Sus scrofa: one gene and its partner. The protein of the gene in region 1 purifies or fractionates together with the protein of each later gene. This does not show direct contact. Links are inferred from orthologs where the notes say so. Each region holds a gene or a part of one and is shown on either strand. Other genes may lie near its edges.

What was found.
Region 2: the proteins of MMGT1 (region 1) and FLOT2 purify together in Homo sapiens (affinity purification with mass spectrometry; 3 studies listed by BioGRID and IntAct, with this or other methods). This does not show direct contact. The link is inferred for Sus scrofa from reciprocal best matches to the Homo sapiens genes MMGT1 and FLOT2.

The regions. Positions count from the first base shown.
Region 1 is NC_010461.5:111,155,615-111,159,360, reverse strand, and holds the start of MMGT1 (membrane magnesium transporter 1 precursor), read left to right. Parts: upstream 1-1,062; 5' UTR 1,063-1,126; coding exon 1,127-1,205; intron 1,206-3,746. UniProt on the Homo sapiens protein: Part of the endoplasmic reticulum membrane protein complex (EMC) that enables the energy-independent insertion into endoplasmic reticulum membranes of newly synthesized membrane proteins.
Region 2 is NC_010454.4:45,117,608-45,121,253, reverse strand, and holds the start of FLOT2 (flotillin-2), read left to right. Parts: upstream 1-750; 5' UTR 751-900; coding exon 901-949; intron 950-3,646. UniProt on the Homo sapiens protein: May act as a scaffolding protein within caveolar membranes, functionally participating in formation of caveolae or caveolae-like vesicles. May be involved in epidermal cell adhesion and epidermal structure and function.

The sequences.
Region 1 (3,746 bases):
GCTGTGGCTCTGGCGTAGGCCAGTGGCTACAGCTCCGATTCGACCCCTAGCCTGGGAACCTCCATATGCCGTGAGAGCGGCCCAAAGAAATAGCAAAAAGACAAAAAAAAAAAAAAGAGTGCAATTAAGCCAGGGAGAAGCACAGGAAGGGCTCTAAGCTATTCAATTTTAAACTAGTCATTTCTAAAGAAGCATAAGGAATATAACTTTTCTCTTAGGTGTATGAAGTTCCGATATCAAATTGTCTGTATTTTATGGGCTGAAGACCAAATACACACACACACACATATCGAGAAAGGAGAGTATATTTTATTCTGATCACAGAGGCAGAAGATTGGCCTGTGTTGTTAGCATCCTTTTATTCTTCCCATTTCATTTCTCCCTTATGTAAACTGGTTCTCTTCATGACAGAACGTCCCGCTGGGCTACACTTTGGGCGGGAAGGTACGGACACTTAGAAGGAAACTAACTTTTACCCTCCCCCCGGCCTACCACTTATTTGGGGCTCCAAATCCAGGGTGGTTTTCCTCTACATCCCACCCGCCACCTCGCTTTCACACCCTTGCCTCCTTCCGCAGTGCCGGTTGCCAGAAGGCTGAAATACAGGAAAGGTCGACAGAAAACAAAGAACGCAGCTTGACAAGGGAAAAGCAAAACAAACAAACAACCTCCCCCTGCCCAGGGGTAGGGAGCCAGCACAGACCACCTTTAACACCAGCCCCCAGTGCCCCAATTCCTTTGCCCAGCCCGGAACTCCCCGCAGGCCCCGCCCCCTGCCCCACGGCGCGCGCTCATTTGCTGGCGCCCATCTTCTCCGCTTCCCCATTGATTCGCTCTCGCCTCCTCTTTGATGCCCTCTGCTCAGCTCCGCCCCTCGCAGAGCGGCAGCCCGGCGCAGGCCCGGCTCCTCGCCACTCGCGGACCTTTTTCCGTGTCGCTTTCTCCTTCTTCCCGGCATTCCTGTTTCCGCTTTCTCATGGCTCTTAGCTTTTCCCACCTCTCAGGCACTTCGCGCCCAGGGGTTCAGTGACGTCATCTCTCCGCGCTGCGCGGACACCCGCCGGTGGAGGAAGGAACGGCTCCGCCGCCCTTCGCTTCTTTGTTGGGCTGCTGCTCCTTCGGAGTCATGGCGCCGTCGCTCTGGAAGGGGCTGGTGGGCATCGGCCTCTTCGCCCTAGCCCACGCGGCGTTTTCCGCTGCGCAGCGTAAGTGCCTGGGGGACGGGGACCGCTCCCGTGCGGGACTCCGGGGGCAACGTGTGGGCGCACCCCTGAAGGGAGTGTCGGACCGAGTGTCCCGGGAACGGTCATTTGAGACCTTAGACTTTGGGGTGAGTGTGAGAAGCAGTACAGGGCTCCCCGGTGCAAGGCTTTCAGTGTGAGTTAGAGGAGAGTGGGGCACCTGGGATTGCAGCAGGATTGGAAGGGGGTGTTGGGGAGAGGGCTCAGCACGGGACCGGCGGGCTGCAGGATGGGCAGAGAGGAAGTCTATCCGAGAATTCGAAACAAGTGATGTCAGATCCAGCGTGGGGCTGATCAGACAAAGTGTCAGACTGAGGATCTCGGATGCTCACGGCCCCATGACAACTAGATGGACAACATCTTGGGCACTCCTGGGCTGTCCAGGCACACTGAGAAGTTAGGTGACCATTTGCCTCAGGGAGGCACTGTGATCCAGGGCGAAGAGCACTGAACTGGGGGATTGGAAGGCTGGTTCTTAAAAACTTGCTTTACCACTAAATCCGTGACCTTGGGCACATCATATCCCTTCCCTGAAGTTTCATTGAGGTGGATTTTAATTCGTGCCCTGTCTATGTCAAAGAGCGATAGGGAAGTTTAAGTGAAAAAAAAAAAAAGTAAAAGTACTTTATCATACGCATACAATTGTGAGGTCAAGAAGAAACCTGGAGTCCAGCAGAGGATGCAGTGCAGTCTTGAGACGGTTGATCTGTTTTGAGGTCTTCTCTCCTAGACCAGGAGCTAGCCATCTCTGGCATGTGGGCCAAATGCGGCCTCCCTCCTGTTTTTGCAGGGAGCTAAGAATGCTTTTAGACTTTTAATTTGTTTTGGAAAAAACAAAGGAATATCATTTTATGATCCATGACAGTTATATAAAATCCAGGTTTCACTGTCCATCAGTGAAGTTTTATGGGCACACAGCCACACCCATTCATTTGGGTATTGTCTGGCCGCTCACTAAGGGCAAAGTTGAGTAGTTGCAACAGATAATAATATCTGGTCCTTTACAGGAACAGTTTGCTGACCTCTTTCCTAACCTATAGAACCCATGAGGACAGAGACAATGTATATTTTGTTTATTTCTGTAATTTCATGCCTAGCACAGTGTTCTCCACTGTAGGTATTTAAGAACTTGAATGAAGGGAACAAATTCAGAGTTGACCTTTATTCCTTTCTTTGCTAGATTACTTTCCATCTTCAGGACTAAAGTAGAAAACGAAATGTGACTTCCTTCAAAGCGCCAATTGTTTTCAAGACAAAACCTTTTGTCCTATTTATTATATATAATTAAAAGGATCCAATTATTAAAATTACTTTTTACATATGTGTATTATGACATTTGTCTGACAGAAATTCAGCTTTATTAAATTTTTGTTGTGAAATTTTAGATTTACAGAAAGGCTGCAAAGATAGTACAGAGAATTACTGTATACCTCTCCCCCCAGGTTCCCCCACTGGTAGCATCTTACATTACTGCGGTGTAATGTCACAACTAAGAAACTGCCAGTGGCACATTACTAGTAACTAAAGTCTAGCTTTTCTTTGAATTTCACCAGTTTTCCCATTAATGTCTTCTTTCTGTTCCAGGAATCAATCCAGGGTATTGTATTACATTTAGTTGTCATGTTCCCCAGGCTCCTCTGTTCTGTGATAGCTTCTCAAAAACTCCAACCTTTAATGATAACGATAATAATAGTCAACATTTATTAAGTGCCTACGGTGTGCCAGGCGCTGAACTAAGCACTTTACAGGTATTATATAATTCAGTCCTACCAGTGAGGCAGATATTATTGTTATTATTGCCTTTGAAAGATGAAGAAATTGAGACACACACTGCTAGGAAGCTTGTGCAAAAATTACAGAGATGATAAATGGTGGCGCTTCAAAACAAGCAGTTTGATTCTAGAGCCTGTGTGCTGCACTGCTTGGTAAAATTCAGTCTTGAGTAATTGGTTGAAATTGCACTGTGCTTAGGTGCTAGAAGGTGCAATGATGCCCTGAGGGAGTTCAGAGTCAAGTGGAGAAACAAATGGATCAAGAAACAATCACAGTAGTCATACAGATGCTAGGCTAAAAGTAGGTAAAGATATATTGAGGCAGGGGAAGTCATTTTTCAGGTGGCAAAGGGGTTAATAAAGGTATCCAAGAGCCCCGATCAAGTGTGGTCAGTAGACCAGCATCTTGGGACTCGCCTGGGAGCTTGTCAGAAATGCAGACACTCAGACCCCGCCCCAGATCTTTGGCGTCTGACTCTGTGTTTTAATAAGCTCCCCAGGTGATCTGTGCACACATTCATTTGAGAAGCGCTGCCCTAGAGGAATTGAGGATGCTGGAGTACTGCGCCATTTCCTACAATAGACTTCAGCTGTAAATTCGTGCAGTACTAGAGCAAGGAGACAGATGACTGAGGTCCAACCCCTTTTACACCTGAGGAAATGCCTTGCTCAAGGTCGAGTTACGTTAGAGTCAGATTGGGCTTCCTGCAAAGAAGAGAAGTAGCTTGGGATT
Region 2 (3,646 bases), on another chromosome or scaffold:
TGGTTGAGATTTTTACCTCCATGGTCACTTTGTGGGGGCTTCAAGGTATATGTCCTGGAGAGCTCTTTTCCTGGTTGAAGGAAATAAAGGGTGATGATTTCTTCCTGAGAGTGACAGTAAGCCCGGGGGGCGGGGAGGGGGGGCGGTTGTGCCAGATGCTGCTCCTCAGGAATTTGAATTTCTTATCTCCAGGCTCTACCCTGAGGAACACTCAGCCCTGGATGATGGAGGCCTGGGCATTTTTAATCTGATGCACCATCAGTATGGAGAATTGTTCAGTTGTGCCCTTTGCGATCACCTAGTTACATTATTCCCACTTTCCAGAGGCGGGACTAGGCAGCCAGAGAGGGAACTCGTTCCGGATCTCCGCTAGAAAGAGCAGGGACTGAGATCGGAGCCCAGGCCCAGGCGGGCTGACTCCAGGGCCCACCCCTGTAAGGTGGGTGCTGGGAGGCGAGGCGGGGCGTGGCAGTTGTTATCCAGGCTCCCCAAGGAACGCCTTCAGGACTGCTTGAGGGCCGAGCCCCCACGATGCCAGCTCTGTGTAATACAACCACTTGAAGAGCTCCCTGATGGCACAGCAGGTTAAGGATCCTGCGTTGTCACTGCTGCGACCCGGGTTCGATCTCTGGCCTGGGAACTTCCACAGGCCGGGCAGGCTGGGCCAAATACTTTGAAAATTAAAATCGAGCGTGTTGACAGCCTGGCTCGGGCCGCCTCCCTCCACACGCCGGCCCCGCCCTCCGCCGCCACACTTCCGGCGAGGCTGCGGCCGCGGAGGGGCGCCGGCGGGCGGCCGCTGGGGGTGGCGGGATAGGCTGGGCGCGGCCGGCGGTGCGGGCCCGCTGCTGCTGTCCAGGTCTCGGCGGCCCCCCGAGGGCCCTCCGTCCCTCCGGCGCCATGGGCAATTGCCACACGGTGGGGCCCAACGAGGCGCTGGTGGTTTCAGGTGAGGGGGCGGCGGGGGAGGGGGGCCGGAGACGTTTGGGGCGGGGGGCCGTGCCCGGGAGGGCGGGGACCGGGCTGGGCAGCGGACGGGGAGGGGCTCCGCGGGTGGGGGGCAGCGCGGGAGGTGGGGCCTGAGTCCGCGGCTTCCCGGGCCGCACCTGAGACCCTTTCAGGAGGGACCCCTGTGCTCCACCTTCCTGCCCCGCGTTCTCGGGCACTCGCCGGGCTCTCCCCCCGCCTTCCCCCGCTGCGTGTTTGCCGGTGTTTATTCCCTCCTTCCTTCGTCTCCTCCCCTAGCAGGGTCGCCCCTGTGGCCTAGGGGGTCCTGAACTGAAGCCTTGGGGTTCCGGGAACACAGTTTGGCTGGATGCCAGCGCCCGGGACTAGGGTGGGTCACGCAGCCTTGGAAGGCAGGTGCCCATCTGGGCACAGACCCGTTAATTCCCAGCAGGCTGGGGCGTGCTGGTTTATTGGCACTGCCCGCCTGGGAAACGCGGGTGCGGCCTCTACAGGTTGCGAAACCGGGCTCTGGGCTGTGTCGCTCAGGTTGCAAAATGCTGCAGGCTCCAGAATTTCTGTGAGCTTAGGTGGGGCCGGGGGACTGCAGTATTGGGGAGATGAGAGGGATCTTGTCCTAAGGCTGCTGTGTATGTTGTATATTTGGGAATTTGAGGAAGAGGCTGGAGCCTTTCAAGCCATCAATTTGTGCAGCCCAAGCTCACAGGTGCTGGGGAGAGGGCCTGTTTCCTGACAGCTTGGAGGCCTGTAGCTGCAGGAATCCCTCCTGTCTTTACTTCCCACTGTCAGTGTGGATTCTCCGCCTGTGCACAGAGTCGTTAGGGCTGGCTCTAGAATTGAGCAGAAGAGGGTGTGCTGGGCCAGGGCAGGAAGCTGTCCACCTTTGAGAGGTGTGATGAATCCATTGGAAACTTTCACCCCAGAACATGGCCTCTGGCTCAGTGTGGATCTCAAAATTGATTTCCCTGGGACAGGAAATCCCCACTCTCCCTCACTAAGACCTTACCCCTGTGGGGGAATTTAAGATTCTTTACCTCCCTGAAAACCAGAGCTAGCCGTAAGGTCACTAGGGAGACCCCCAGAGAGCACTGAGGCCAAACCTACACCTCTGTAAGACCTGGGCCAGGGGTTCCCGCCTGCCTTGGTGCAATGGGTCAAGAATGCCACCCAAGTCGCTGTGGAGGCACAGGTTAGAGCCCCATCCAGGCACAGTGGGTTTAAGGATCCAGCATTGCTGCAGCTGTGGCATAGGTCGCAGCTGTGACTTGGATTCAATCCCTGGCCAGAGAACTTCCATATGCCTTGGGTACAGCCATAAAAACAAAAACAAAAGACCTGGGCCAGTCTCCCAGCCCCCACCCCTAGAGAAGCTTGTAGAAACCCCAATCTGAGCCACACTGCACTTGGTTTTGCTTGTGGAGTTTCTTTCTAGAAGCCCAGACTCTGGGCCAAGGAGACAAAATCTCCGCTCTCGTCCTTGTAGAGACCCTTGAGACTGGAGGCAGGAGGAAACCCTGCACTGTGCCTTCCAGTTGCCAGGAACCTGGTCCCCTGGCCAGTGGCCAAAGCAGGGCTGGCTTAGAAGCTGTTTTAATGGTGTGGAGAGGAGGCGTGCTGAGAATTAAGAGTGCTGGAGTCAAGGGAGGGTGGAAGAGAAGAGAGAGAGATAATGCCCGGCATAATAGAACCTTGGGATTTGACATAATCATGCTAAGATGCAGCTCCCTTGTACTCGTGGCCTCCCTGCCCTGCCCCCACCTGGTTACCTGAGCCTGCCTCTAAGTCCAGGGGTATCTCACACAGCCCACTTTCAGAAGGAGGATGCTGATACAGTTCACCATTATCTTTTTCACTTGAAAAGTCTGGAGGTTTGGGAGTTCCCATCGTGGTGCAGTGGTTAACGAATCCAACTAGGAACCATGAGGTTGTGGGTTCGATCCCTGACCTCACTCAGTGGGTTAAGGGTCTGGCGTTGCCGTGAGCTGTGGTGTAGGTCACAGGCGCAGTTTGGATCCCGTGTTGCTCTGGCTCTGGTGTAGGCCGGTGGCTACCCCTAGCCTGGGAACCTCCATATGCCAAGCGCACAGCCCAAGAAATGGCAAAAAGGCAAAAAAAAAAAAAAAAGGTTCTTCTTGTCTAACTTCCCTCCTTAATTATGTAATACAAAACCTTTTCCTCTGTTTCTACTCTTGGGAATTTAAAAGGAGAATCTAAATACCATACACCTTTCTCTCATCTCCACAGTAGATCAGAAGTTCTTAACCTGGGGTTTGTAGAAAGAATTTAGAGATCTTTGGATTGGGGGGAGTACATTTTTATTGACACTAACTTTAACGGAAATTTAGTGTTTCTTATGATTATTAATGTCAACAACAATCCTCGGTAGTATTAGCAAATATTTTCCTACTGTACTGCCTTTGTTGCTTTGTTGTAGTTACCTTAAAAATCATTTTCGAGGAGTTCTTGTTGTGGTGCAGTGGAAACGAGTCTGACTAGTAATCATGAGGATGCAGGTTCAATCCCTGACCTTGCTCAGTGGGTTAAGGATCCTGTGTTGCTGTGGCTCTGGTGTAGGCCAGCAGCTGTAGCTCCAATTTGACCCCTAGCCTGGGAACCTCCATATGCTGCAGGTGTGGCCCTAAAAAGCAAAAAAAAAAAAAAAATCAGATCTTATGGCTCA